Linked DNA regions of Tribolium castaneum. The protein of the gene in region 1 interacts with the protein of each later gene in a pairwise test. Links are inferred from orthologs where the notes say so. Each region holds a gene or a part of one and is shown on either strand. Other genes may lie near its edges.

Region 1 (16,557 bases):
GAACAGTAAATATATTTCAAAACGCAGCATTATGTAGTGGTTTCAATTCTCCAGTATTACAAAAATTTACAGTAAAAGTCAATTTATTTTGAACAACGGTTACGTAATACATGTATGAATGAATTCGATAATTAAAAATAATACACACACACTTAATATCCTATCGTGTAGTTGCTAAAGAGCAGACTTTATTCAAATTATCCCTCAAAGTCTCCAACTGTCGTTTGGTTTCAAGATCAAGTTCTGGGATTTGAGAGACGCGTAAACCTCTCTGGGGCTGAATCGAGAAAAGACGGCCATCCTCAAGGGGAATGTTGATGTTGGCCACATTGTCAGTCACTACATTTCCTGTAAGCAGAGGACTTCCTTGGAGCGATAGGGCGACTTCTCCTTGCTTGGGTCGGCGCAAAAGTACTTGCGGTGTGTTGGGTTTTACCTATCGCAACAACGTTAATTTTTCCACAATAAAAACCGTATTTTTACCTTTGGTGTTACTGTGCCATAGCTGTTGGCAGGAACTCTCTGTGCTGGGGTTTTATACACCTCTGTTACGTTTTTAGTGCGAAGTGATTGAGATCTTGAGATGCGAGTCGTTTTTGGTACTCTATTTTTTGTTCTTGACTGCCTACCACCTGAAGTACTTTTACTACTTTCAGCTGTAAGGTACCCTAGCAAGCCCCAACCCCAATTAGATGAATGTCATGATACCGGTTTTAGTCACATATTAAAAATTATAAGAAACATTTAAATTCATGAGTGTTAGTAATGACAAGAAAAATAAAATTAATTTATTGAGTAAAGGATGGAAAGTCAAGCATTTAAGCTTTTGTGCAGTGTAGCTTACCTTCATCATCACCAAAAGAATTACTTTTGGTAAGTTTACTTTTCGTCACTGTCATTGTTCGTGTTGCATCCATTAACTGAGTAACAGAACCACCGACGGTGCTATCCCCAGACCAGCCAGGAGGCCGTTCCATCTACATTTTTTTCATAATGAATTATTATTACAATAAAATATTTTCTACATTACCAACTCCCCCATAGTCTTATTAGCAAGATTTCTGGGAATAGAAAGCTTCGTTTTCTTCAAATCGGCCTTAAACTGCATCTTGAAATTCTCTATCTGTTGTTTAAATGTGGAAGGGATGCTCTTTACTGAAATTTTAAACTACAGCAACGAGTACAGACACCGGCAAAGACTACTAACGCATTTTCCCCATCGGACCTGTTTTTGACACCAATTCCTTAATTCGTCCGGCTTCTTCATTCCGCTCCTTTTTAACAACTTTCGTTCGAGGCATCTGTAAGTTAATTAAAAAATATAGGTGATTGTAAATATGAGATAGCATTTTTTGCAGACGCTTGACCAGTTCTTGTTTGCTTGTTACAAACCTTTGCGTTATAATAAAAAGCACTCGCTTACGTTAGATAGACTTTATGTGAGTTAACTAATTAGGTTGTGATATTTATAACACAATATTATTAACTAAAACTGAGTTTCAAGCACAACAGGCACAAGTCTACACTAACGAACTAACTGACATTTAAAAATCTTGAAGTTGTCGCCAACCTAACGCAATGTCCCTGGAAATAATTTAAATGTAACTTTTTTCATATGTACGTGTAGGTATTTACATGCCACAGTTACGCTTCTATTTTTTGGGTCAGTTACGATGTATTTTTAAATAAATTATAATTAGTTATTAGAGAAACAGTGTACAGCGTGCTTGAGACAGCTATGTTGGCTGCGCTGTTTACAGTAGTGACTCAAGATGGCTGTCATGCATTTAACTTTTGAATAAATTCAAAATTCTTAATTTCCTGGCGACTATCTACGTTCTTATTAGCATTCCGACCTTTTGCAATGGGAGTCCCGGCATTTTTCCGTTGGCTGAGCCGCAAATACCCTTCAGTGATCGTCCACTGCATCGAACAAAAAGTAAGGTTAAGTCCATCACTCACAAATTTCGAGCCAATTTTCAGGCAGTTGATGTAAATGGGGTCCGGGTTCCAACCAATTCCGCCGAGCCCAACCCCAACGGGGTGGAGTTTGACAATTTGTACCTGGACATGAACGGAATTATCCACCCGTGCACGCATCCAGAGGACCGACCAGCGCCGCGCAATGAAGACGAGATGATGGTCGCGATTTTCGAATGCATCGATCGCATTTTCAACATCGTCCGTCCCAGGAAACTCCTGTACATGGCGATTGACGGAGTTGCCCCACGCGCGAAAATGAACCAGCAGAGATCAAGGCGTTTCCGCGCCGCTAAAGAAACCGTGGAGAAAATTAACGAAATCAAGCGAATTCGGGCCGAGCTGTTGCTGCGAGGGGCGAAGTTGCCGGACGAGAAACCGAAGGAGGAGCACTTTGATTCCAACTGCATCACGCCGGGGACCCCGTTCATGGCGCGGCTTTCTAACTGCCTGCATTATTACATCCACGAGAGGCTGAATAATGACCCAGGGTGGCAGGGGATTAAAGTTATCCTCTCGGATGCGAACGTGCCGGGTGAAGGCGAACACAAAATCATGGATTTTATTAGGCGCCAGAGGGCGCAACCTGACCACGATCCAAACACTCAACACTGCCTTTGTGGTGCCGACGCTGACTTAATCATGTTGGGTTTGGCCACGCATGAGCCCAATTTTACTATAATTAGGGAAGAGTTCAAGCCTAACAAGCCCAGACCTTGTGATATTTGTGGTCAGTTGGGTCACGAAATGAAAGATTGTATAGGTGGCGCTGCTAGTGCTGAGAGCGACACGCAGAAAGTGTTTGCAGAAACGGATTATATTTTTGTTCGTTTGAACGTTTTAAAGGAGTATTTAGAACGCGAATTGCAAATGCCGAATTTACCCTTCAAATACGAGTTTGAGCGGGTTTTAGACGATTGGGTTTTTATGTGCTTTTTTGTTGGTAACGATTTTTTACCACATTTGCCAAGCTTGGAAATTCGGGAAGGGGCAATTGACCGACTAATCAGACTATATAAAGATTGCGTCTATAAAACTGGGGTAAATTTAACGAGTTTTATGTTTGGTTTTTAATTATTGACATTGCAGGGCTGGTTGACAAACAGCGGTGATGTCAACTTGGAGCGCGTTCAGTTGATTATGAGCGAATTGGGCAAAGCTGAGGATGAAATATTTAAAACACGACAACAGAAAGAATTACAGTTTAAGGCGAGAGAAAAGGCGAAAAGACGGAGGAGCGAAGGCTACAACCAGTATAAACCCAACTGGGACTTGGTCAAGAACACGCAGTTTGCTCCTACCGCAAGTTTGCTTTTTTATCGACATAACAAATTTTAATTCGTGTTTTAGGCTTTAGGCCAGGCAAAGCCGGTAGTAAACGCCCGTCATGAGGCTTTTGAAATACGAAAGGCCGGAATGCACACTCAAAAAGCGGGGTTAGAGTCGATGTTAACACCCGTGGATAGTCAGTCAAGTAACCGGGGCCAGAAGCGCCACCATGAGGACGACGATGAAAGTGATGACGACCAGGCTCATGATGAAGTGAGATTATGGGAAGATGGGTTCAAGGATCGTTACTATGAATCAAAATTCGACGTGAATTCTGATAATCTAGATTTTCGGTACTTCAGAAGCGATTGCGTCTTGATAAATTAATTTTTGAATAATTTGTAGAAATAACGTAGCGCTGCATTACGTGAGGGGTTTGTGTTGGGTTTTGCGGTACTATTACCAAGGGTGTGCCTCGTGGAAGTGGTACTATCCCTACCATTATGCCCCATTTGCTTCAGATTTTGTTCACATCGCAGGCTTGAGTACTGAATTTGAGGAAGACTCTGATCCTGTAATAACTTCGTTTTTTCCACAAAACAGTTCAATAATAGTGTAATTTCAGTTCCGACCTCTAGAACAATTAATGGGTGTTTTCCCGGCTGCTAGTAGTAAACATGTTCCTCAACCATGGGCAAAGTTAATGTCAGACCCTGTAGGTACTCTACTTTTTTTAATTAAAACCCATTTATGATTTTGTGTTAGGAATCACCAATTATTGATTTTTATCCCGAAGATTTTAAAATTGACTTAAACGGGAAGAAATTTGCCTGGCAAGGAGTTGCGTTATTGCCTTTTGTTAATGAGGATAGGTTATTTAAGGCCTTAGCTCCATATTATAAAGAGTTATCACCTGAAGAAATTCGGAGAAATGTGCGAGGAGATGATCGGTTGTATGTTGGGGCCAAAAACGCCGGTTATAACCAAATAAAGCAACTGTATGTACAAAAAATCAGTGTGAAAATGGAAGTGCACGTTTCCATTGAGGGAATGCAGGGGACTGTGTTGTTGTCCGATGAATGCGTCGATTATGGAGGGTAAGTAAGATAATTTAAAACAGATATTTGTTTTAAAAATATTAGAAAAGGTGAAAATAAACTAACTAGAAGTAAGTATTAGGCGAAAGGAGATACAAAATATTTTATATTAGACACTTTAAAATTGATGTGAATTTAAATAACTCACTAATAAAAAAATAAATATAAAAATGAGTATAGTGGTAATGCCATCACCCAATTGTTAATTGCTTGGAAAAAAGACAGGAATATTGATTATCAAATTTTTAATAAGCTGAGAAGACGAACACTACTACTTGTTTTGGTTTTTGAACCATGTTTTGAAAAATAGGGAGGTGGTGTGAAAAAATTTATAAGTTTGAATTTTTTTTTATTTTTAATAATTTTTTCCTTATCTTTATTTTTTACAATTACAATTTTATTCTATCTGTTTATCTTGTGTTTAAATACAACTATTTTTTTGACAATGACTCTTTTCGGCAACGGTGCCAAAAAAATAAAGGGATGGCTGCCGACGTTTGTTGTCCGCGCATTTTGCTTCAGGTTCCTTGTTCCTTGTTCTGTCAACAGCATAACTTTACAATGCAAAGATGATAAATAAAATTTGCAACTACTTTTTCAGATAATATTACTTTTTTATATTTTCATACATTGTTTGAGAAATTTTATTAAAGTTTTTTGATGATACTGATAACCCACAAGCTGTTAGAGGTGTTTAACTTGTTTTAAATAAAAGATTCAAACAAAATTGAGGAGGAAACACATGATTCAGAAAAATAACACTAGCACTCCAGATAATGCTGATCAAAAAAAAGGCTTTTTGAAACAAATGTTACATGAATATCCTGAATTAAACGAATAATGATCTAATTTTTTCATCCAATACCGTCATGCTACTTGATACTTTTTTTTTTAAACATAAAGGACTCAATTTTCTGCTCGAACATTTAAAGTACAATGCCTGTACGTAATCGCAAGGTAGCTTTAAAAAATAATAAAAAGAAGGAGAAATAATTTAACATAAGAACAACATAAGAATGGTTAGGTGTAATACATATTTAAACTAGCAATAAGAATTTTAAGATAAGAAACTACAGGTTTGATCTAGAAAAATGTGGAATTAACAGCAGATTTTAAAAATTCTTTGTCAGCAGTGGAGGCACTGCCATTCCATTTTTTTTTTTTTAATTTAGGAGACGTTCTATTCCTGCGTCGTGTCATTCTAGTATTTAGGTATCTCTATAATAAACAAAGTTTCTAATTTTCTAATTTTTTAGTTATTTGGATTCTCCGATTCGCGGTTTGGACGACATCATGAACAACATGGTGTCTTGTGTGAAATACCGCGATCCAAAATACGCTTCCGGCTTCGTATTTCCAGCCAAGAAACTAAAAGGCGCGATCGATCCGCCTCGAGTTTTAAAACCAACAGATTTAGATCCTGTAGCAAGCAGAAACTGGCGACCTATCATTGGAATGGTGCCATCAACAACACGGTAAACTTCATTTAAATTTCGTGCGTAAAAAATTTAACGTCGATGATTTAGAGCCACTTTAGGCGAGGCCGGCCACAGGATGGTGGGTCATCATTTTCCCAAGTCGGGTCCAGGTCCGTACTCGCACGTTCCTCCGCCGTCTAATATGGACAGAAGAAATAACTATCACCAAAATCGCGGCAGTAATTACGGTAAGTACAGATTTGATTGTTTTAAATAAGGGTCACTGGATCGGATTTTGACGATTGATATTGCGAGAAACCCTCACGGCGCTCTGTTGTTGACGGCGGAACAATGGTGGTGAGGGTGGACGGGAGAAGGGTCAATTGTTTGTTTTAATAGGTGATTGGAGGCACGCGTCGTGTCTAGCACGTGACCCCTTCGCATGTTCATTATTATACGATTGCAATTAAATCGGTTTTAAGTCAGTGCACACTGCACTAGCGACGGTTATTGCCCAAATCAGCTAGGTACCGGCGTTTGTTTATGCGTCTAACCAATAAAAGTAAAGGTGGGGGAACGGTGGCGTAATTGGAATGTTTACCGGGGTTGTAGGTGTAACTACTTTGCTTGTTTACAAACAAACTTGCGAATTCATCAACTTTTATTAGTTTGTAAGGTGTAATACGTTCTTTAACTGTTCATGTTAGTGTATCAAATTTCCAAACTTTTCTTACCAAACAGTTAACGGTCTTCGAAAATGAAAATTTTTAAATGTTTTATTACAAATTTTATTACAAATTATTAGATCAATAGTAAAGTATGCATTTGATCTCAGATTGTAATTAAAATACATTTTGTGGATTAGGCCATTCCAGATCTGAATGCTTCATTTAATTATAAATAAATACATTTAAAATTCAATTAATCATTATCAGTATAATTTGTATGGTTCAATAATTTGACGAATTAAAATGTTTTGTTTTTTGATATACTCGCATTATTAATTTGATAATTGTAATTGAAATAATTTTCTAAATACCAAAATAGTAAATTATGAAAGTAAACAGGACTTTTTATGGTGAGAATACAGCCTGTCGTAATAAAGCTCGAAAAGTTTCAAAATGCAATCCTAATGCCAACACAAAGTATATAAGTATTTTTACGAGTATCATAATAAATTGTTAGAAATTAAGTCATAAAGACTCACAAGTCATAATATGGTTATTTAGGTATTCGCGAAGTTCACCTTTGTATTGTTCTCAAGAGTTTTAGCCTAAAAACCTTATTTAAATGTTGATGATAACGAAGATACAATAACTTTTTCTGAAATTTTGGAAACCAATCTATTCATATTAAAAAAATCAAAGGTCCATTGGCGTTAATTTATAAAAACTGTTACAATTGTCATCTAATTAGTTGGAAAAGATTAGTTGACCCATATAACCCGGAAGTTTTTTTGTTGAAATTCTGTTCTAATATAAGTTTAATGGTTTAATGATTCCATTTTTTATTTATGAGATACATGGCTTTTTTTAAAGGACTCAGAGGCACATTACAAAAAATATTATAATATTTTATTCCAAATTCGTAACTTTCTGATCTTTGTACAAGTGTATTTATACGAGAAATTAGAATAAAATTATAAATTGTTATTTAAAACTTAGCTCATACATTTTTTTCACCTACAAAATTTCACTCGCGTTCTAATGGTGCCTAATGTTTATGAAACTATAAAAAGTTTAGATTAGCATTGAACAGAATTCAACATCAACACTTCCAATGTATAATTAGGTGTCCTCACCTATCTAAAAGGAACAACAAACGATTTAAACAGAAATGTTGAAACAGGCGTAAAACGTTAACGTAAAAGGACCACATTTTCAAATATGCTAAAAACATTTTATTAAGACGATTTAAACTTCAACATACTACAGTGTCATAAGATGGTATAAAGATGGTATAATACCATCTTATCTGACATGGTAGAAATTTTGTGGTCAAGAGGATATTAATTAAGAAGAGTTTTTTATAGAATAAAAAACAATTTGATAATATGTAATAATATTTACATGTATTTCAATACGGTTTTTGTTTTTTTAATTTACTAAATATGTATAAAATTATTTTTGTTAGATTTTGTTCTGGAACATTATCAAAAAACTTTCCAGCTTTTAATTTTTCGTCGTTCTGTACCTAAGCTTTTTTATTAGTTTGGAGATTTAGAAACGCGTCGAAATAATGCATTTTTGATGAATGCCGGTCCCATATCACTATTGAACATTATGCGTTGTGTGTGTCTGTGATGTTATCGCGTTCCGTATCTTAATCGGTCCGCTCGGTCGTAATTCGTGGTTCTGCGGGGCCGTCGCATCGTTCGTCCTGAAAACAAGCAATTTGTCGAGCATTGTGCCCTTGTTTGTGGGTGTGACGCAACAATGACACCGTTCTGCCGGCGGCAGAGCGCGTAATTGAAGCTTTTGTGCGGCCGTCAGCACCACTGACACGCCTAATTTGACAATCACCACAACGCCACCGCCCCTAATGCGAAAATAGTTTCGCTTGGCGTCTAGTTTTCCACCGACGGAGATTTTCCAAATTGAACTATTGTCCGGCCGACTGCGAGCAAGATTATTCCGGACGCCGCCGGAGCGGAAAATTCGCGAATTTCCAACACACGTCGGGCTCGAGGAAGGCAATCAACGTGTGCGGTCGAGGGGGTGATTCGATCAAAGGGAAGACACGGTCAAGTAAATTCCGGACTTGATGAAATTTTCGCGGCGGAAGAGTTTATTAGTGCATGAGGATCAATTGCAGGGCACAGTCAAGGAGGGTACTCGAGTTACAACCAGGGGCACAACTCGAGGGGGTACCAGAGTGGGTATGACACAGGGTACAATCAAAGGTACAACCGGAACAACTACCAAAATCGGAACTACAACTCCGACAGGAACGATCCCAGCAGAAGGCCTCCGGGTCCTTACAGGGACGGATATCAGACCTCCAGCTCGAACCCTAACGCAAATAGATACAGCTACAGGAGGTAGAAATTTTCATTTCTACATACTTCTAATTTTATCCGACTTTGTAACTTTTTTAATCACTTAAAAAAATAACTATCCCTTCACTATTTATTTGAGTTAAAATGTATAGTGTAGGTTCATTGAGAGAACAGTATTCTCTTGTTTTGTATGATTATGGTTTTGTACCTTTCTAGCAAAGGCTTAAGGAAAAGAATTGTTGTAGTTTAAAAAGTATGGAATAAACAATATGATTTTAGTATGGTTGTGTTTTATTACGCTATAAAAATTGCATGGTTGCAGAAGAATAGTGGCACTTCCGCTACCGTTGGATCTGATGAAAGAGAAATAAAGGGGTAGGGAGGGGGTTTCGATTTAAGGACTCTTGTCTCAGAAACAAGAGTTCCATGCTAAGAGTGCTCACTCATTGTACGCTTATGGTAATGCGCTTTGTGCGCCACTAAATATTGCAGTTGTAAGCACGTTTTTGACTTTTCGCCTTAGTGCATTTGTGCAAAAATAGGCGCTGTGCTGGGTTTAGTCTTTTGACGAAAAAGGGGGAAATTTCTTTGTTTTTAACCTGGTTTTACATTGCCTTCTAGTAGACACGAAAATTTACCAAAAGCCAAGACTAAAATTACATACTTGATGATTGAATAAAGTAATCTAAATGTAACTTTTTTGTAACACCTTTACAAGAATCTTTATTAATTGACATTTGCCGTTAACGCGATTTGAAACGGTCGATGGCTTTGTCCTTTAACCGAGAATCTGCGGATACCAAAGCCGTGCGCGTTATGGAGGGCCGTCCAGACCCAGGTGACAGCCATTAGCAACATACAATATAGGAATAAATAGTGCATTAGGGCCTTTATGGCGATAAGTACGCGTTATTTTTTAGATTGTCTAGTGTTCGGGTGCAGACAATGGCAAGCGTGGAGTGCAAGAAGGGCCGTTGGTAGTGCTGGCACAATGCCCACTTGAGTTGCATGTAGCTGTAGGTAGCTAAGGAGAGCGGCCACTTGAACTTCTGATGCAGGGTTGTGTTCGGTGGGGCAGCGTGTGGAAAAAATAAATTTTATCGCAACGAATACGGAATATCGCAAATTCGATTTCTGGATCGCGGACGGGATGAGCACGAATAAAGGACGTCACGCGGTTTCCTTTGGGGTGGCATTAAAGATCTCCTGCGGTGGTCCGCGCTCCCACACGACGCAGCGAGCTGCGAACAACGCATTCCTATGCATATGTGGACTTTTTCGATTATTTGGACGCATTCAGATGTGATGTGACTTTGCGCCGGGGGCGATCGAGCGAAATGGCGCTTTCTCAGGCACGGGGGGCCAACGATTTCTCAATTTGATAAGTTTTTTTCCAAATTAGCCAAATTATTTGTTTTACGTCAACTACCACAGTTTATTTCTATTTGTAACCGACATTTTAATATTTTTGCGACAGCTGTATCAAGTTCAAGTAATTAAATTATTGTTAATGTGTTTATTAGAAAGTAATGGAGAATAAAATATCGGTATTAATATTAACGTCTGATAGATCTACAGATAGATAGATAATTTCTTTTTAATGCAAGTATCAAAACTTTGGTAAATCGCAGAGGACATATCAGTGCGCAAAATTTGGGAAATCAATCGAAATCTCGATGTAGTCAGAAGAAATCATTGAAAAATGTGGATATGCAAGTGAGACTAATCTTTTTAAATCCAAATCCTTATAATACGATTGTTTTTTTTTTATTTATCTTTGGAGATTCATTTCATTTGGAAACGCTAACCACTCTAAGTTTTAAAATTCGTGCACTATTAAATATCTATTAGACACAACACGCATAAGACATCGAAGTTGTTTTGAAAATAACGAGGAAATCATAATCAGCAAAAAGGTTATTTGTATTTTATTTAATAATTTACAAAGCATCTGTTTGCGATAAAATGAATAAAATTAAACAGCACAATAGGTTTGGATAAATCATTAACAAAAAATATAATGTTTTGGTGATTGTAATTACTGCTACAAATACGTGAACAAAGATATTTATATAATTAACTGTTTTACGGTATTGCTTTAAATTTGTTGTGGTATTTACAGACTGGCATTTTTGATGTCCATGTAGGGGAAATCACATTTTCGAGCTCTTTTAAATATATTTCTGTGTGTTTCTGATTTATTCATAAAATTTGTAATCTATGTAGGTTTGTAGCTATGTTCAATGATTTAAAATATTCGATAATATTTAATAAATTAATAACTTTTTTACTAAAATAGTATTGTAATAAATAAAAAACGAACATGCGCTGCAGTACTCATAAAAAGTAAAAGACACCAATTAACACAATACAAACTGAAATGCGGAATTTAAATTTTAAGTACCTAAGTACTTAATAATATAATATATATATATATATATATATATATATATATATATATATATATATATATATATATATATATATATATATTCAGTTTGTATTGTGTTAATTGGTATATATATATAGTATTTTCTGTTCGTTTATTGTGTTTTGTGATTTGCATTTCGTTAGGTTTTTGATTCTGCGTTTATTAGTTCTTGTTTTGTGAATCTGTATTTTTTGTAACAACTCATAATTTAAACACTTCGTAACCTCAAAAAATATTTGATAGTTTGTCACCGCTATGCCCCTGCTATGTAAACGTAGTGACAGAAATGTCAGATGACGCACACGCAAACGGAGCTGAGCGCTACCATATATATATATATATATATATATATATATATATATATATATATATATATATATATATATATATATATATATATATATATATATATATATATATATATATATATATATATATATATATATATATATATATAATCTATTCTATGACTACTTACCTATCAACCTGGAAAATTTTCTAATTATGTGAGTGATGGTACATCAGGAATATTACCGAGTTGAAGAAAAAAAGATTTATGTATTTTCATTTGGATCTGACGAAATAAGGGAAACAATCCTATTATACTAAGGCGAAGGACAGTGTCATAACTTAAATAATTTTATTAGGAATTATTTTATAGGAATATTTGATCTCTTTGATAAAATAAAATAAAATGTTTAATGATCTCAATAACTCAGAAGTTTTTATTTAGTATTTTAGTTTCAGATTATTCATATTAAAAAAAATAATTTTTTGAGAAATAATGGACATAACTTGATGAATATTTTTTTCAACTTTGAAATTTCCCTATATGTGGTTTATTTATGAACTTAAAAAAATTATATTGTTTTCATATTTTCTTATAAGGCATTGGCACTTTTGGCAAGTTTCTTAAGGTCGGTTTACATAGGGTTCATTAATTTAATCCGCAATTAAATGCAATTTAATCATGTGACCAAATTATGTATTAAATTTTAATAGAGCTTTTTGTGAACCTGTTTTTAATCTTTTTTTCTTGACAAATAGAAACATTTTGTTGCCAAAACTAAAAAATAGCATTTTGCTTTATGTGGTACTTCTACAGGGTGCTCAAAAATTGGCGAACCAATTAGTGGTACGTTGTTGAGATGCAAGTGCAGATTACGAGAAAAATCTTGAAAAAATTTCTAAATTTATATTTTAAAAAATTTGGACTTACAAACATATTTTGTTAACTTCTTTAGTTTTCATTATTTTTTAATGTTCTCATGTTTTACGCTAACTAATCGTTCTCTAACAAAACGATGAATAATTATTTTTAAATTATTACTATCAGATCTTAGCGTTTTTAGAATTAAAAAAAAATTAAAACTTATCAAAAGAATCGCAATGTGTAGATGTGCCAACGCTGGGAATTATTTTTTAGGAAACCGTTTCAAAAATAATTTATTTTGATTGTTGATCAATTTCTATTGCGGTCACGACTGTTAGACGTTTTATTTAAAATTCGTTATTTATCACTAACTTTAATACAACGGATTTTTTTATTGTTTTTTTTTATGTAAGCAACTTTCTACCATACACAAATGTATGGTAAGTGAGTTGGTTCGGCAGTTTTTGAGCACCCGGTATAGAAATAAAATAAAGTCGAGAGTAAATTATTATATTTGCTTTTTTTTCTGTTGGATTCAAAAGTTTTTTTTAAAATGAGAGGCGCTCGTTTTTACTTTGTATTTTCTCATTTTAACAATTTAACATTATGAACATTTGGTACTACGTATTAGCGTTACAATGTCTAAAAATTTAATTTTGAATTGATTATGAAGCTTCTAAACTCGAATTTATTAGGTATGCATTAAAATTTGGTAAATACGCCATGCTGTGATATTGGTTTACATATTATGTGATAAAACACTTTGGGGTGAATTTTTCAATGTCTCCTAAAGTTCACACAAGAAAAATTTACCTCAAAATTTTGAATTTTAGCAAGTCAGCTTTATTGTTCAACAAATCGCTTTCTAATTTTAATTTATAATGAAAAACAAAGATATTTAAATAATTCTCACGTTTTCATTGTTAAAGTATTTTTTTCTCGCCACAATAATCTTGTTCGAGACATTTATTGCATTAGGAAATTACGAGCAGGATATTAGTATTAGGAAACGTCGCGAAATTTAATTGTCTTTATTGTTTTAGTAATTTTCAGTCCGTAACGACGATTTTAATCGTGATCCCATCTATTAGTGCCGTAGAGCAGTCCTGTCGTAATTCTTCGCTTCATAACCGTTTCATTCTCATCTGGCATTTATCCGGTGACGGGCCGTCAGCTAGACAATAAAGCGATCGTCTTCATAACTGGAGGCGCCTTCGTGTCCAATTCGAATCGCTAATTGCCGGAGAAGGCCCCATTCACCGGCATCCTGCCTCGTCATCCTGTAGGTGTAAGCGTCCTAAGACAAAACGTCGATTGTGGAGGGTCCGAAAGTATCGAGCTGGTGGCGACACTGTGTCGGATGTGTATTGATAGCACCATAAAATGCTGTCCAGCCTCCTGATTGTGACAGTCGAGATTTATCCGACTTTATGTGTGGCGGCGAAACCGCCCACAAAAACGGCCCCTAAAAATACTAATTGTAATTAAAGCCGAAGAAGCTCACATGACAAATGGATGGAATGTAATAATGCACTGTAGCCGATCGAGGGTGGCGGCGCTGCCGGAGCGTCGGGACGCCACTTGACCTAAGCCTCTGATGGTTACTTGGCAACAATTAATCACATCGTATCGTTAGCGTCGGCTTACATGGATCGGGATTTTATTATGTCGAGGCATCGCGAATTATTGACAACGCCAAGGGGCGGAGGCGCAAGGGGGCGCTAAAACAATCTCTGAGATTTCGCAGGTTCAGCATAATCGCTGCTCGCTACCCCAGATAATCCTCTCAATATTAGACTTACCTGTTTATACGCTCAATTTGCTAATACCGAGGATACTGACTCACCCTCGGAAGGGATTTTTGAGCCTGGACCAATACTTATCGCAGCAAATTTCACGAGTTTTTCATATTGATTTTTTGCTGATGTGAACACCAGCATTTATTTACAATTAGTGTGAAATTTTATTAAGAAAAACATTGTTGTCCCTAAATGCAGGGGTGTATTTAGGTCCATTGCCGCTCCGGGCTACTTATAATTTTGGCAGCTCTTGCCTGTGACAACATTAAAAAACATTTATAATGAATAATAAATTGCATAAACCAGTGGGAAAATGGGGATTATTACGTTGTAATATACACATTGAAATCTGATTAAAACAAATTAGTTAATGTGTGTCTGCTTTTAAATTAATTCTTTTTATCTGTGGTAAAGTAGGTATTGTCTACATTTTAAAATTATTTGCTTTGTAAAGTGATATTTTTACTGGCACTGGAAGATACAAAACTGTACAACTTTTTACGATAAAATAAAAAGCTTTATAGAAAACACATATGATATAATTTTTGAGGCTTCTGCAGATTTACTCTAAAATTCAGTAATTATTTTAACTTTTTTCAGTCAGTTTATTTGAATGAAATAGCAAATCCAGTTCAATTCCAGTTGGTACGTTTTTAAAAAATAATAAGTTGAAAAACATAAAGAATTTTTTTCAAATGTACATGCACAAAAATTTTTTTACAGGTATTTTCTGCGATAAAAAATTATTCTGTACTTAAATTATTTACCTATATAAGAAGCTTTTGTTTTTCAAATAACGTAGCCACTTTTGCACTTTATTCTACAATATTCCGTTGTCGCTGATAAAGATACTTTCCTGTATTGTGTGTAAAGTTCTCCAGGCTTTTGCTGCCATTACTCTGTACTTTCTGAATTTTTTGTAGGTAATATGAATTAAAACTATACTTACTGAAAACTTCTTCTTAAATTACTTTAACCAGACAATTAAAGAACTTAAGAAGTATCTAATAAGATACGACAAAAACTATAAATCTGATCAGTTGATTAAAAAAAATGCTCAAAAACCGATGCACGAATTAAAAAAATTCTACGTATTAAACTTATTAATAAATAACGAATTTTACATAAAAGATATGTGTGGCAACGTTGTCTGACAGTTGTGATCGCAATAGCATTTGATCAACAATAAAAATATATTATTTTTTAAACAGTCTTTTAGGAAATAATTGTCAGTGTTGGCTACAAATTGTGATTTTTTGATGAATTTTATTTTTTTTAATTAAAAAAATTGCTAAAGTTTGATAGTTAATTTACTAATAACACTATAGTTTACAACATTTTTTACCAATAGATGAAACCACAGAATAACTAACTCTTTAGGGCCGGTTTACAGAAAGTGAAATTAAGGTTTAATTTGGAATTAAACTAATTCGAATTAAGTTGCCATTTAAAATGCATTGAAAAATGTCAAGTTAATCGCGAATTAAATTTTAATTGCGATTAAAACGTTCTATAAACCGGCCCTAAGTCTGATACTGAAGTCGAAAAAACTTAAGACGTCAAGTTTTTTAATTATTATTCATTCTAAAGTAACAGTATTTAACAATTTTTGCAACATCAAAAATGTTACAGAGTCAGTTTATCTTAATGTAAACTAGTTGTAAACAAATAAAATATTCCTATCCCAAAAACCTTAATACCTCTCTTCATAAGACTAAATCTTGATGGAAACATTCACCTTGTTCAGCGCTTAAACTTTCCAGGTTTTGTTAGGATAATTTAAGCACAAACATAGAAAAAGTTGTTTGGGCTTAATTTACATTCACCGGATGATATTATAAAGTAAATAAAATATTTAATAATTTGTTTATCGCGTTATAACGAATGTCAAAGACACCACAAAAAAATTGATTCAAAACTTTTGAAAAATTAAAAATGACATTATTTCATTTTTTGCATTGATTAATTTCTCTCATTATAACCAGCAGTAATCACCTAACATATTTTTTTTCAACCGTACTGTAATGAACATTTTACTTTCATATTATTCATGCCGGAAAGTACCATTTTACCGGACTAGTCCGCTGGATAATTGTTCCCGGACTAGTGCGGTAAAAACCAGAAAATGAATTCACATTCACTTTAGATATTTTAAAGCAAATAAAAGGTTTAACCATTAGTTTATCACAAAAACAATGAAAAAATAAAATAAAAAAATAATTCGGTAAAAAGAGACATTGGCATTTCTATAGTTTTAAAACAGCTAATATTTACGTACCTATTATTTTTTTAAATCACAATATTTTTTATATCTAAAAATATTTTTGCTGTTCTAGGCTATTGTTTTTTTACATATTATGGACCTTTTTATGTAAATGTAAATAAAAATAAAGGTTAATTATCAAAATATAC
Region 2 (16,244 bases), on another chromosome or scaffold:
TCATGCCTCATATCATGGCTTGTAATTGACAGCATTTTATAAAATAATTTGGAATCATAATGCAGAGATTGTTGCGAGACAGGCAGGCAGGTCTCAAGCCTACTGCAGAAGTCGCTCTCAGTGAGTCCATGTCTTAGAGATGCAAGACCAATTTAGACCATTTACAGTGAGATTGGTGCCCGAGACCTATGTCATGCAGGAAGCCAAACTTCATCGTGAATGGACCCTTTTCAATGGGGGTGTGCTTTTTGAATAAATTTGAAATGGCCTTTTTGAAAAAAGCAGTTGTCTCTCTTTTATTCATCTATTCAACACGTTTGTATTCGATGCACTTACACCAATTTCATTATCAGTGTCTTGATTATCAGGCAAGGGCGAAGTGGAATTGGGGGCAACCCAGAAATAAAAACACTTTAATTTCCTTTATTAGTAGGCTATATTTTTTGTAAAAGACGACTACTCTCAGATAGAGACGTACAAAAATTTAAACAAGAGTAAAAGTTGGTTTTTCGCAATATTTCACACTATTCTTCCACACGTCCACAGTAAAATCAGAAAGCGCTTGTTGTTATAAAGCCCTTATTATGTTTTTCGACGATGGATGAGACTTTGTGACGTATTTGTTAAACGTAAGTTTTCAAATACCCCATGCCAGTGCAACGGAGTTATATTAACAATTTTATGGGATTATTTTTAACTTTACACCCATTCTGCTTGAAACAAGAGTCGCTACCAGGAAATAACAACGAAAAAAGTGGACCCAAAAGGCTTCAGCTGCAAATTATAAACACTATCTGTGATTTTTTTAATATTTTTTTTAATAATTAATTAATAAATGTCGTGAACTTACTTTGAAGTAAACAGTGAGCTCCATCTATAACTCATAATTACTTGAACCGCAATTCCCATCATCAAAATGTGCAAAACTGCGATAAGTGAGGTTATGCAGGTATGCACTTTGTTTTCCAGTTTTTCACACAAAATATATCACAAATTGCGCAAACCATACAACCACCGACAGTCAGTACTGTCAGTACGTCACAGCAGCTTTCTCCAGCACAATCACTGACTGCAATTCTGTATTGTGCCATTCCCGTCTCATCATATAATCTATAATTGTTATATGACAAGTAATGTTTCTACCTTCAAAAATACTTGCGTAAATATTTTATTATCCCGTTAGTACACACTTTTAAAGCAGCCACTGGTTATATAGATTAAAATTATAACATTTCCTTTGTTATTGTGTTATTGTTTACATCAGTCAGCTGTTTACTGTCATTTTCTAATGCTACCAATTTAAAAAATGTCCCTGTTATTAAAGCTCAAGGACCATAGAATGAGAGAGAGAACATTTTTTGTTCACATAGACGCTGAATATACGTATAAATGTCAGAAAATTCAAATTTTTTATGTCCAAATAGAAATGTCCCGGACTGTAAACGCGTGTTGGTAAGGCTACATCGTGCCCGAGTTGCATACATTATTTCTTCCAGGACCGATTTCTACAACCAGGCCGTGCCAACCGATATTTGGTGGCACTTTTCCATTTCTTTGACGTTCATGTGGGCGTTTTTACTCAGTCTCTACACTGATGTGAGACGAAAGGATTTTTTTATAATGTTGGTACACCACATTTCCGTCATTGTTTTCACCTGTTTGTGCTGGAATGCCAACTTTTTTCGCATGTTTAGTCTCGGATTGGTCTTGCACGACTGCTGCGATATTTTCCTAGAGGTGCATACTGTATTTTTTCTACCAACAGTGCGACCATTTGTTTTAGGGCGCCAAAATCGCAAGGTATTTGAAATATGAAAGGGTTTTCCACGCGCTTTTTGGTATTTTTACCATGGTTTGGGTGGTCACAAGATTGGGGCTTTTCCCCTTTTGGATAATAAAAAAGTATGGGTGTAGACGCGCGAATTCATTTGTTATTAAATTGTTTCAGTGTTGTTGTGGACGTCCCAGAAATTATGCCCAACTTTACTTCTTTCGCCATGTATTACATATTTGTAGCTTTTTTATTTCTTTTCCTCACACTTGACTTTATTTGGACGTACTATATATTCAAAATGGCGGCGTCTTTGCTCACTCGAGGGCACTTAAAGGGAGATGCAAGATCAGACGATGAAAAATAACTTTATAATAATTACGAAAAAATAAATAAATTGTAATAACAAAAATCAAACGTGTTTTTTTTAATAATACGTAGGCAACCAGGTATACACCTCGCTAATAAACAAACTTAAATTTGGCGCCCGTTTGTGTCATCTGTCACCCGTCATTCAAAACCGCTAATTCGCCGATTTCGTCCCGAAATCGCCCCATAACCCGTCATTAAATCGAAATGGGTGCATTATTGACTCACCGCCCCCGTTAGCCGCCCCCCGGGCCGCGTTTTGGGTCGCATCCAGTGTGCGAGAAACCGGAAATACGTCAAAAAACAAATACGCATCTGCATCGGCTGCCATTTTATTTTAGTGACAAGTGCGTGCAAGCGTATTTACAAATACGCTTAAATTGTGTGTCTGTGTGAGGGTGCGTGAGTGAGAATGTCGGTGGAGTACCTCCAAGTGGCCGAGGACGAGGGCGAGGAGCCCATCGAGTTGCCCACCGAAGATGACGGAACTCTGCTTCTGAGCACTCTGGCGGCACAGTTCCCGGGCTCCTCGGGGCTCAAGTACAGGAATCCCGAGACGAAAGCGATGAGAGGCGTGCGATTGAGCGAGGGGCGGCTGCATCCGCCACCAGAGATCGGCTGGGGCACGCAGATTTTCTACTGTGTTTTTCCCAAAGGTGCGGGGATTGGGGCTATCTGTGGGAATACTCCCAGGAAGTTGTCTTTTGCCTAAATTGTATCAATTGAAAATCGATTTTTATTAATTGGCTTTGATTAATAATGTATAGTTTGTTTCATTTGTCAAAGAATTTCAAGGTCAGTAATGTCAGAATTTGAGCTCACTTTCCAGTGGCGTAGCATGTCATTAACGCCTAGTTTCTTAAACATATTCAGTGGCGGCTCCCAGTCTAGGACGCAGACAATTAAACAAATATGTACGTAGGACATCTACTGTACTTCATCAAGTGGACTTTACTGGAACACACATAATTTCTATACCTATAGCCAACGAAATATTTCGTAAAGTAACCAAAAATAGTCTGTAAAGTACTACTTTTTTGGCGAATATGTCATTAAAATCGTATGTATACGTAAAGAGACAGAAAATAATTAATAAAAACTGCTTGTGTGCAATGTTGGTTGCATATCACTTCAAATTTATTTAATTTAAAAATAAATCTGGAAAAACTTATTATGTAGTCTTACACCCCAGCACTACAGTATTTGTTTTTACGTTTAAACGGTTATTCTCAGCCATCAACTCAGGGAATAAACCCTATACTTTTCCCTATAAAATAATTCAACTTTTACAATTTCTTACGAAACAGGTGATATAAGACAGTTTTAAAGCTTTCCTTTTCTGTGACACATCGTTTGCAATTTTCTGCACATTTTTATGTTATTAAAATCTGCGACGATCTGCACTTTAACATAGATTATTTTTATAATTTCACATTTTTTTACTTTAATAAACCGTTCACAAAATTTCTAGTTTATTCACAGCTTTTATGTGAAATAATTTTTCCATGGCCAACTACTTTCAAATATTTAAATATATTTTTACCGAAAATATATAAAAATATCAAACTATATTTATATTGTTTTGAGTTCAGAAAAAAATAAGCATTTCGAAAATGTCACAGCCAACTATTATTCTCGTTTAAAAAAATACAAGTTTATGTTATTACAGCTAAACGAATGATTAAAAAAAATCGTTGATAACATTATTAAATTCTTTGTAAAAAAGTGCCTGTATAATGTCTTTGTTTCAAATGTGTTTCTCTTATAATAAGGAAGATATGATTTTTTTAATATTTTACTAAAATGCCAACTTTTGTTTATAAGTCGAAAACAAAAGACGATAGCGAAATGCGGTTTTGACCAAAATTATTCTCTCAAAAAACGGACCCGAGAATGTGTCACTCGTTTTTCTCTAAACCTCTCAGTTTTGGAGATCGCTTTTTCGGACAACCAAAATGTAGCACCCTGTATAGTGCATTTAACTGCGACAGTATCTATTTTGCTAAATGACAAAAAATATTTGCTCCTTTTCTCTGAAATTAAATTTTTAAAATCTTTCCAGTGACGTAGTTAAATTCGTAAAAGTCGATAAAAATTTGATGTGTGGAGCTATTGCCAAGCGTAAAGTTTGTGTTATCTGTTTCAGAAAACAAACGGAAATCGGACGACAATTTAGAAAATTCAACTGCGAAAACGAAACGTATGGAAACAAAACTAAGATGTACAGACTTGATAGTGTTAGGATTACCTTGGAAAACAACAGAACAGAATTTACGCGAATATTTCGAAACGTTCGGTGAAGTTTTAATGGCTCAAGTAATGAGTGGTGAATTTCAGCACGAATTGCATAAAATGCGAATTTTTCTAGGTGAAGAAAGACCCCAAAACCGGCCAATCAAAAGGCTTCGGTTTCATTCGCTTCGCCTCGTACGAATCCCAGATGCGTGTCTTGGCCCAAAGGCATATGATTGACGGTCGATGGTGTGATGTCAAAGTACCCAATTCAAAAGTACATCATTACTTGGCTCGGCTTCGCCTCGCAATAACTGCTCATTTTTCCAGGAAGGTCTGATCCAACAAGTGCCCTGCAAAGTGTTCATCGGCCGTTGCACTGAAGAATTAACCGCCGACGATCTTCGCGAATATTTCGGCAAATATGGCGAAGTCACCGATGTTTTCATCCCGAAACCGTTTCGCGCATTCAGTTTTGTTACATTTCTGGACCCCGAAGTGGCCCAAAGTCTCTGTGGCGAGGATCATATAATCAAGGGTGTGTCAGTTCATGTTTCAAACGCCGCCCCCAAATCCGAAACACGAGGCGGTGGTTATGGGGGCGGCGGACCACGAGGTGCCAATCATGGGAATAACAGGAGCGGACCGGGACCTGATGGGCCTGGGATGTACCAACAAAGGTACAATCCAGGTCCGAATCAGGGCAATTGGAGCAATCAGGGGCCGAGGGGAAATATCGATATGCCCAATTTACAAGCTTTAGGTAAGTTTTTGGGTAATTGGCTGCGATTTTCAAGTCAAGTTGGCAACTTAAGGGTAGTCTGACCCTAGGACCTAGGACTAATAATTACGTCGATTGGGTCATAAAAAGTCAAAAATCATTCTGCGAAAATATAACAAAACACAGTTCCTATTTTAAAAATTCATCCGCAATTTAAATTAATTGAAAATAGTGATTCTAAGATCCGGTTTATAGAAAGCTCTATTAAAATTTAACACGTTGTTAAAACAACGCGAATAGACCAATCACAATGCTTTAATTTGTTTATCTGATCATTTAATGGCGGATTAAATTAATGACGCTTCTATAAACCGGTTTAAGGGTCGGTTTAAATGTTATCAAGGCGAATGGACTAATTAAATTTGTTCAATTTGGTCACGTGATACATTAATCACGCATTTAATAGCAGATTAATTTAATGACGCTTCTATAAACCGACTCTATTGTTTTCAAGAAAATTTTATAAGCTGCTCCATGTGGGCAAATGTCATACCAATTAATTTTAATACTTGTAATTCAATTAAACGTTTAATAAAATACCTTTAAATTAAAAAAATATTGACAATCATACATAATCTACTGCAGTTTTTTCAGTCTTTAAAAGTGACGTAAACATAGTATATTTTTTTTAATTGTTGTTTTTAAATGCAAACACCTTTAAACCCAAGAGTCAGAACGAAGCATTATTATAATAATTTTGTTTAATAAAAACCACCTTTAAAAAAATTGCTTTAAAATTTATGAAAAACACTTAGAATGACATGCCAGATTTAATTTATAATTTCTTATGTTACTTTACGTTTAATATTAATTTGTATATTTGCAGAAAAAAAAAACGATTAATAGACTTATCTCATTGCACTGAATCAATTTTCACAAATTTTCGGAGTTAATGGGCTACTGTAGTTTTTTCAGTCATTAAAAGTGTATATAACATTGTATATTTTTTTTAATTGTGATTTTTAAATGCACACACCTTTAAACCCAAGAGTCAGAACGAAGCATTATTATAATAATTTTGTTTAATAAAAATTACATTTTCAAAAAAATTGTCTTAAAATTTATGAAAAACACTTAGAATGACATGCCAGATTTAATTTATACTTTCTTATATTACTTTACGTTTAATATTAATTTGTAGATTTGCAGAAAAAAAAACGATTAATAGACTTATCTCATTGCACTGAATCAATTTTCACAAATTTTCGGAGTTAATGGGCTACTGTAGTTTTTTCAGTCATTAAAAGTGTATATAACATTGTATATTTTTTTTAATTGTGATTTTTAAATGCAAACACCTTTAAACCCAAGAGTCAGAACGAAGCATTATTATAATAATTTTGTTTAATAAAAATCACATTTTCAAAAAAATTGTCTTAAAATTTATGAAAAACACTTAGAATGACATGCCAGATTTAATTTATACTTTCTTATATTACTTTACGTTTAATATTAATTTGTAGATTTGCAGAAAAAAAAACGATTAATTGACTTATCTCATTGCACTGAATCAATTTTCACAAATTTTCGGTGTTAACAATATTGTTTAATAACATTTAAATAAAGGAATTTATTGCAAATCTAATTATTACATTTGAAAAAGAGGATTTTATAGGAAACGTTTCTTTATTGCTTTCAAAATGACTAAAATTGGACTTATTGCGATGTACAGGGCGCTCAAAAACTGGCGCACCAACTCAGTGGGACGTTGTTGAGAAGCAAGTGTAGATTACGGGAAAAATCTTGAAAAAATTCCTAGAGTCGTATTTTAAAAAATCTGTAGCTATAAACTTATTTTGTTAACTTCTCCAGTATTTATTATTCTTTAATGTTTTTATGTTTCACACCAAGTAATCGTTCCCTAATAAAACAATGAATAATTATTTTTAAATTTACTATCAGACTTTAGCAGTTTTTTAAATTAAAAAAAAATAAAATTCATCAAAAAAATCACAATTAGTAGATGTGCCAACACTGGAAATTATTTCCTAGGAAACCAGTTCAAAATAATTTACTTCTATTGTTGATCAAATTCTGTTGAGATCACGACTGTTAGACAACGTTGCCACATTTCATTTATTGAAAATTCGTTATTTATCAATAATTTTAATACAAAGAATTTTTTTACTATTTTTACCTTTATATATAAGCAATTCTCTACCACACACCATTGAGTTGGTGCGCCGATTTTTGAGCACCCGGTAGAATTGAATTGACAATTTGACAATAATATATCATTATTATTTTTTCCTAATCCACTTAGATGATATTAGAGATATTAAAGATTTTTGAGTTGATACATTGAAATTTGAAAATTTTTTGGACATGTTTTTTCCAGAATATTCCAAATCTTATTTTATCTTTTTGTTTTTGACTTATTTTGTTTTGTTTTCGTGGCAATTGTTTTTTATATATGTTTCAATTTCTATGAAAATATTTAGTATGACACCTAAACCCAGAAAATAAACAAAAAAACTTTTTATTTTATCAACTTTTTTGATTTTTTTTATACTTACCAAAAAGATAAAAATGTGTACTATCTAAAAACTTATAAAAATGTCATTTTAAAACATTATCGCAGAAATTCATGTACATGTAATTTGATAATGTTATGTTCAGTAAATTCAATATTTTTAATTTATATTTAACTTCGATAACTAAATAAATATTTTTTTGTAAACATTGAAAATAGTTAAAGGCCCTACAGTAGTAGTGCAGTGATTTCTGCCCATTAAAAAAAAAATATTGTCTAAAACTGAATTCAAAACCAATTTTTTTATAACATCGTGCCATTTTTTCGCCCTAGAGGGGTCAAAAAATGTTATTTTAAGCCAAAATGTGTCCAAGTCAGATTTTTGCCTGGGTCAGATTATCCTGGGATTATTTAAGTTTGTGTCACTCGTTACGCTCGTTTAGTTAAGTTTTTGACCCCGGCCTCCTTTGTGAACTCCTCTCCCAAACTCCCGACTAACAAGATCTAGTCGTTCCCGCACGGTGAGTTTTATTTATTTCCTTTCTCCATACAGGGTGCTTCAAGTTTTATTACCCACCAAAAAATCTATATTTTTCAACCGGCTTTAAAACTTGGAATGCCCTATATATATTGTACAATTCCGAAATGTTTCACGTGTCCGAATGGTTGTAGGTTATGGTTTGATGTGAAGAAAAAATGTTGCTGTTTAGTTCTAGTTGTTGTGAATGTAATTAATAGTAAAAATGAGTAAAAAAAACTTGGAAATCGATGAATGTGTTGCGATGTGTTCCCCGTTATAGGTATAACCGGTCAAGGTCAGCAAGGTAGTAACCAACAAAGCTGTAATCCATTGGGTTTGGGTTTGAATTTGAGCGCTTTACCCATGAATCCCGCTCTGGTCGCTGCCGCATTGAATCAAGCAGGCTGGGGGCTTATCGGTAATTTACAGAATCAGCCCGAACCGAATTTCAATCAGGGCTTCAACAACGGCCCCAACAATAACAGCGGTAAGGGTCATAAGAGTGCGTGAGCAGATTGCGAGGCGAAGCCGAGCTCGTTTCTTTAAAAAATATATACAGGTCCCCAAAAAATATAGATACAGGTACAAATTATAAAAACTATACATCAAAACTTATTGAAATTTGGTACGTGCTTAAGAGTAAATAAATTCTATCGTTTCAGATGTTTATCAAATTTCTATCTCCATTTGTTCTCAGGATACAAGGCTAACTTGATTTTTTTTAATGGCAATAAGGGGCATACTTAATATTTTTATTTTAGTTCTATGGCGAAACACATGTGTACCTTAATTTAATCGAAAAAAAAAAAAAAGACTAATATTTTTTTTTACCTTCTAATAAAAATAAAGCTATATGTTATATCATTTAATTCGGAAAAAAATGTTCTTTTGAATATTATTAAATTTGTTGCTTCATGTCTTTAAAAAAATCAAGTTAGTCTTGTATTTTGAAAATAATTGACGATGGAAAATTGAAAAAGATCGCATATGATAGAATTTAAACACTTATAACTGTGTCCCAAATTTCAAGGTGCTTTGTTAAACCGTTCTGAAAATATTTAGCTATATTCATGCTTTTTGGGGAGCCTGTATATCGCAATCTGGTCAATCTGTCTAGTCCCGTGCCCCTGTCACCCAGTGGTGTTTTAGGCAACACGCCGAACGGCAGCAACCAGGGGGGTAGCAGCAATCCTGGTTTTCTCAGTTGGATAAATCAGGGCGGCGGTCAAAACCAAGATGGCGGCCAATGGCCTCGACCGCCCCCCCAACAGGCGCAGGAGAACAAGGGATTTCTCAAGTACGACTAAATCAAATAATTTTAAATCCAACCAATCACAATCACTCCTCATCCCTTACCTTCCTTCATTCTTATTTTTCTATTACGTTTCTCTCTGCTTACTTAGTGTGTGTCTCTCAAATAATATAATTCAGCACATCATGTTGAGAAAAGTTTTCGGAAATGTTGTGTGTGAATGACGTCAGGTGAAGAAGAAAATTCGAGGACTAGTCAATTTTATACACAAAATATACTCATTTGTTTTATTATGCCGGAAGTGTGTGAGGTGGTTCTTTTGTTTTGTATATTAGCTGGTTGAAGTCGTTTCCGGAAGCTTTGCTCCTACTGTAGATTAGTCTAGGGAAAAAGAAAATGTATTGAATTTCTGTTGGTGGTTTGCCGGAGTTGGCAGTTTTGATTATTCCCCCACGTGCATCACGACGATCGCATCGTAAGAGTTTTAAAAGATAGTGACTGTACATTTACTTGTGTTTGACTGGGTTTTTAAGGATAATTATGTAAAAGAGGTGATAATATTATATGAGTGCAGATGATCTGTGTTTTGTTTTTATTTAATTTGAAGACGATACTCCTTGACTGTCGTAGAGACGGCGCCACTTGCACTTGGGTCAGGTCAGGTCAGGTCAAGTGTGCGCCGTCGTAGTGTTCCTTTCTCCCTGTGTCTTGACAGATTGCATGAAGAGACTTAAACAAAAGTGTGGTGAATGAGTGTAGTAAATGGGGACGAATGGTGGGACATGTGAAGACGTCTGACTGAGTAAGTTTGATTCAAATTTTTGGACAAAATACACTGATGATGGACGACTTTAACACTTGCGAGGCGGAGGCGAGTCATGTCATTAATTGGGGTTTTGTTTAGGGACCTGGGATTGGTATTGAAGCCGTGGAGCGCCGCACACAAGACTGAACTCGCGCGTTGGAAACTCAAGATTTTACTAAGATTGTTGAATAAATTATTGCAAACGAAAAGTGCTTTATTTCCACCTTACTCACTCAACAAGTACACACAAAACTCTCGATACTTGTTGAAAATCACCGAGATGATGTCGACTTTGACGAAGATCAACCAGGCCAAGGCTAAGTACCACACAACACTGAATATTTTAGACACGATCCACATCCTCCTCGAGTGTCTCTTGGCCTGTTCCAAGCTGTCATCATCCTCTTTCAACAGATACCTCCTGCCTCCTATTGTGGCCTTGACGAAGTAATCGTAGGGCTCCACATCGTCCTCACCGTACTGAAAACTCCCGAAATCCTCCTCAAGCAAGTCCTTCTGCAGCTCCACCGACTTGTCGTTGAGGAACTCCCACTGATTCCGCGAGAAGTACTGAAGGGCCATGTTCGCCACGTAGATCCGTCTCTGGATTTTGACCAACCTGGCAACAGAACATTATCGACCAAACAAAACCCCCCACACTTACATGGGTTTCTTGCCCATGACTTTGAGCAGCCCGTCGATGATGAGCGCCGGGAGCAGATGGTAGAAGTACACTTTGAGCAAGTAGGCGTAGTAGCACTTGTTCACCGACCCGGAGGGGTACCATAGCACGTCGTTGAAGGGCACGTCCTCGCAGATGCCCTTGCCCATCTCGACCATGTCGCCCATGGTGATGGGCTGCACGTCGTTGTTGCTGCCGTTGTAGAAGACGGGGTTTAGGCGCTCGGGAGACCTGCGATGGTAAGTTAGTTTTTAGGTTTTGGAGGGTTTGGATCACTGTACTTGGTCTTGACGGCCTGTTTCCACGCTGCTATGATCATTGCTTTGGCGAGGATGTCCACTGGGACGTAGTCGGCGATTACGTCGGGGTCGCTGTAAACGGTGTGCACGATGCCTTTGCCGGAGGCCACCAGCAGGCCCACCGGGCCGTTGAAATTGTCAATCCAGCCCGGGAATGGCTCGTGTGCGGTGGAAATGACTGAAAGTGGTGGAAGATTTTTTATTGTTGCGTTATTACACCGCTTAAAAAAATGAGGAAGACTTTATTAAAGTACGGTATCACAACTTCTCACACGAATAAAAATTTAAAATTGTCAATTGTAATAACTCGTATTAAGTTTTTGTCGAAAAGTTACATCTTAGTGACATATCTGGTTTGTGTTTTTTATTTGTTTATAAGTAGAAGCGGAATTAAGTCATACATAACTTGTTTTTATGTAATTCTCGACTGTCATGATTTTTTCTGAAGCCTAGAGTTAACAGTTTTAAGTTATTTTGATAAATATATGATAGATTATAATTCAAAAAGGGCTGAGGAATGAATATTAAAACAGGAAGTATTCTAGCATAGAATACAGTAGTTACAGAAAATCAAGTAACGCGTATTCATTGGTCGTCAAAATTTCGATTGTGGCGCCATATCTTGGTAGTATGTTGAAGTAAAATTGGCAGCAAATGATTTATTACACGATTTTCTTCCCAATTTTTCAAAATGTTATTATTTATTTTCAACATAATAGTACTCAAATAAAAAATATTAATTCGATTGCTTTAAAAATAACAAAAATATAGGCTTTTTTGTCTGCCGGTTTGATACTGTAATAAATCACTAATAATTAATAATAATCCATTTTAATAATCACACAAAAATCAGCGTTTGCGATTTTTTTTTGCTTTATTTCTTTCTGTGTGCCTTCGAATTTTTTTCAGATTTTTTCTACAATTTCTTATAAATAATGAATATTAATTAATGAGAAATATTTATATTAATAAAATATTATTTTATTAAAAAAAAAATAAAAATATTAACTAATGGAAGTTTTTATGATTCCTAGAAGAAGCGATGCTTGCAAAATGTTTTTTACAAAAATATGTAAAAAAATTAAATAAATTGAGTAATAAATAAATTAATAAATGAGTATTAAAACAGGAAGAAAAAAGCCAAAAGCGTGCATGTATTTATTTTTGGGCTGTTATCAAACTGAAATATGCATTTTTTGAAACTGTTCTGTAATCCGTAAAAGAAATCGTACTCATAATGTTTTTAACACCAAATTTTGCTTGTGGTGTATGTTTTTTGGTTCCGTTTCTAGACAATTTTTCTAGTCAGGAACCAAATTGAAATAGCTGTTTGTGCAATGAAATTGAAAAAATCGGTTTTCCTGGCTGGTTTCAGTGATTAATTTATATTTATTTAAGTGAGAAAAAGTTTTGCTAGGAAATGGTGCACTTTTCGACTCTCAAATAAATATTGAAAATGGTTTCTCACTAAATTTTACAAAGAATATTTTTATCTTTTGTGTTTTTTTTATTGTAATTGCAATTTTTTTCGAGAATTTCATTAAATTTGACTCTAATCTATTTTAATAATTCATTTTTCAAACTATTATTTTATTTTATGCAACAAAAACTTGCCAGTTATACAGGTTGAACTGTGCGAGCATTTTTACTATATCTCAAAAATTGATAGCCGACTAAAATCTTTTAGGTCATAAATTAAAAAAAAAAGTTAGTTTACAAACTGCTAGCTAGTTTACAAAATATCCAGCCAGTTTATAAACTAGCCAAACGTCCACATTAACCGCATTATATCGAAAAGATTTGTGGCTGTGGTTTAAAGGTGTCATTCTTTTTGATCGTGACTGTATATTATTGTCCATTTTTATGTTCTCTGCATCTCAATTTTTTCAAAATTTTTCCATCCTTCAAATTAATATTAATAATTATTAATATAATTAGTTATAAAAAATATTAGTGTCTTTAAAATTAAAAATATTCTTAATAAAATTTTTGCTAGTGTATTTGAATTTTTTATTTCTACTTAATTATTATTTTTTGACATTTTTTTACGGATTATTGCACAAATCAACATTTAAACATTACTTAATTTAAAATGACAACGCAAAAAATAATAATCATTTGTAGTTACTTAAAATATGAATTTAAAAATATTCTAGAAAAATACACATAATTAGAGAAAAAAAAATTAATAGCAGACGCTAAATTCTTTGTGATTATTAATTTTTGAGGTATAGTAAAAATAGCTAATGTAATTTATACTTTCAATGAGAGATCAATCAAAACTATCAATTTTATTTGAAAAAATAATTCGGTAAAATGCGACGTTGGCTTTTTTATAGTTTTGAAACAGATAATAGATACAAAAAATACATATTTCATTATTTAATTTTTGGAATTTGTAATCGAATTCGCATCGGAATATGTATTGTATGTGCATTTTATAGACGCAGGCCTCGTAAAATTACGTGATTATGTGAAACACCCTGTATACTTTTAGCCGACTCACTTTGTAAATCGCTTTAGTCTTGGCTGTAACAATTTTTTTTTGAGAATCTAAGACTAAACAAAGCTTGATTATTAAATTGTTTAACGAAAAGATTGTGAAACAAATGTTAATACATGAAAAAATATCAAGGGTGCACCTTTTTTTAAGTTTCTTTCGTTTTTTTAATTTATAACGTTATAAGACTTATGTGTTTTTTATAAATTATGATAACATTTGGTTGCACCTTAGACAATTTTTGTCATCAAAGGCACCAAACAGAAAAAAGTAAATTTTGGTTACCATTTTCATTTGTTGTTTTGTTCCAAGGCAACTAAAACTTTAGTATTTTTTCCTGTTACACCCTGTATATTTGGTTTTATTAAGAGATGGCACGAAAAAGCTATAAACGACTGTTCTAATATTGAAAAAACAACAACAATGACATTTTTTCCATTTCCTAGATTTGATCAAATTCAAATTATTCACATTTGAAAAATTTGAATTACGACTTAATTTTCGAAACAATGATTTTCGATTAATCACATTGCCACATTGCAAACAATTGAAGCGTTGCACAATTAAAATGAGGACGTTAACCCATTATTTAATTTTGTGTTTAACCCTACGATATTTTCTTGTGAAAACAATTAAATTGCTTAAACTTTTTTGAGTCCACAATTCACAGTGAAATAAAAAATTATTAAAACATTTGGTCAGCAGACAAAAGCAATTTTGCTTTCATTAATAAAAGAAGCGTAAAGCAATTATAAATTACGCAAGAAAATGATTTTCAATTATTTCGTAAAATCGTTACGTACAGTAGACACAGAAAAGAATGTATCCCAACTCACCAATCGAAGGTCGAAAAATCACCGCCGGTATTTTCCCCTTGCACAGGTCATAGACCACATGTTCGGCCAACGATTTCGTAAAAGTGTAAGTGTTGGGCAAAGGATGTATGTATTTTTCTGTCAAGATATTCAAAGCGTGTCTGTCAACACTTTCCGCAATTTCAATTGTTTTCCGCCAATCAGCGTGGGCTGGGTACAGCTGTTCGCCAATCACTTTGCGATCTGTGTTGCAATAAGTCGTCGAGATGTGGACGAAAGTGAGTAGATTTTTCATGGCCAACGCAAGATTGACGACTTCACGGGTGCCCCTCGTATTTAACAAAACAGCATCGCTGAGAGCGTCATCAAAACGCACAGAGGCCGCTCCGTGGAAGATAATATTGATGTTGTGGACGAATAATTGGCGATCGGCGGGAGTGAGGCCGAGGCCCAGCCGAGTAACGTCACCATTGATGATTTTGATTTTGTCCAAAATTTTCGGGTTTTTCGATTTGATTTGGTCAAAAAGCTGTTAGAATTAGTTGCTTAATTTTTTTGTTACTTTAGTGACTTACCGGCAGGTCTGTTATGAGTTTGATTCTTTCCTCCAAATTTTTCCCTTTTTTCTCCCGCATGAGTAAGTAAATGTTGGCCAAATCGGGGCATGATCGTAGCAACTTTTCCACTAGGACTTTCCCGATAAAGCCGCTTCCGCCCGTTATGAAAATATTTTTTCCGCGGAAAAATTCGGTGATTGTTGGAAGTTCGGCCATTTCGAGTGCGTCTTTTGAACTGATTTAGCTGTATCGAAGTCGGCGTTGACCCGGACCTCGATTAGCATACAATAAGGGACTAATTTTCGAGTGAGTTCGATGGTAGAAAAAATATGACTAAAGCAGACTTCGACAAACAACTCATTAAGAGCGGATATGGTAATCTTCATTATGTACACATGAGTTGGCAGAAAACTAGAGCGGTCTTTGCTTGAAACAATTGATTAAAGAAAGTTATTGCACCGTCAAAATGCCATTAGAGAGAGGTTTTGTAATTTGGGCTAACTGCGGAACCAAATTTTTTGGCTTGTCATTGTGACAATTCATAAAAATTTATCTTTATCACAAAAATGGCGAAAGGAAAAGCCAAAAACAAAAAATTAGAAACAACCGCAGCCACTTCTGAGCCAGGTTTAGAACAAGTTGCAGTTGAGAAAAGTGAAGATCAAATAATTGAAGAAAAACAACCAGTAAATGAAGAACAAGCCGAACCACCTGACGAACCGCAGCAGAAAGAAGAACAACCTGAAACTGTCCCAGATTTTGAAGAACTTGAAGCTGATGCTTCGAAACCTGATATAAAGAGAGCTTCGTCTAGGAAAGTGTCAAAAGGGAAGAAAGGCACTTCTGAGATAAGTGTAGGGAAAAAGAAAGGCAAAAAAGAGAAGAAAAGCACTTCAGAAACAAGTGTTGGGAAAAAAGGCAAGAAGAAAAAAGGGAAGAAAGGCAAAGACGATGTTCAAACCGTTGAACAACAACAACCGGCTGAAGAAACTGAAGAGGTTGATAAATTACCGTTAGTTATTAAAGCAGTTTCCATCACTGAAGCATCAGCCTTGAGAGAAAGTAAAGTCAGAATAGACAAGTCCGCTTCTGCTGTCTCCACCGATGAAGAAGAATCAAAGAAAGAGAAGAAGGCGAAGAAAGGTCGCTCAACTTCCACGATCAGTGTTGGCGACGAAAAAAAAAAGA

The links.
Region 2: the proteins of Rat1 (region 1) and TAR DNA-binding protein 43 interact in binary tests that used the Homo sapiens proteins (3 or more experiments, as listed by UniProt). The link is inferred for Tribolium castaneum from reciprocal best matches to the Homo sapiens genes XRN2 and TARDBP.

Annotation. Positions count from the first base shown.
Region 1 is NC_087396.1:15,730,209-15,746,765, reverse strand, and holds Rat1 (5'-3' exoribonuclease 2 homolog), read left to right. Parts: upstream 1-1,735; 5' UTR 1,736-1,864; coding exon 1,865-1,939; intron 1,940-1,983; coding exon 1,984-3,021; intron 3,022-3,069; coding exon 3,070-3,282; intron 3,283-3,330; coding exon 3,331-3,602; intron 3,603-3,654; coding exon 3,655-3,823; intron 3,824-3,874; coding exon 3,875-3,964; intron 3,965-4,014; coding exon 4,015-4,346; intron 4,347-5,602; coding exon 5,603-5,821; intron 5,822-5,872; coding exon 5,873-6,012; intron 6,013-8,578; coding exon 8,579-8,808; 3' UTR 8,809-9,043; downstream 9,044-16,557. Other genes in the region: borr (borealin), read right to left, coding at 161-436, 484-668, 845-977, 1,031-1,155, 1,208-1,301. UniProt on the Homo sapiens protein: Possesses 5'->3' exoribonuclease activity. May promote the termination of transcription by RNA polymerase II.
Region 2 is NC_087401.1:11,340,091-11,356,334, forward strand, and holds TAR DNA-binding protein 43, read left to right. Parts: upstream 1-2,289; 5' UTR 2,290-2,552; coding exon 2,553-2,796; intron 2,797-4,286; coding exon 4,287-4,456; intron 4,457-4,508; coding exon 4,509-4,649; intron 4,650-4,702; coding exon 4,703-5,135; intron 5,136-8,426; coding exon 8,427-8,633; intron 8,634-9,295; coding exon 9,296-9,443; intron 9,444-10,302; coding exon 10,303-10,654; 3' UTR 10,655-10,863; coding exon of another isoform or gene 10,864-11,116; 3' UTR 11,117-11,166; coding exon of another isoform or gene 11,167-11,362; 3' UTR 11,363-11,363; downstream 11,364-16,244. Other genes in the region: putative fatty acyl-CoA reductase CG5065, read right to left, coding at 10,864-11,116, 11,167-11,362, 14,521-15,028, 15,075-15,272; dynein axonemal intermediate chain 7, read left to right, coding at 15,623-16,244. UniProt on the Homo sapiens protein: RNA-binding protein that is involved in various steps of RNA biogenesis and processing.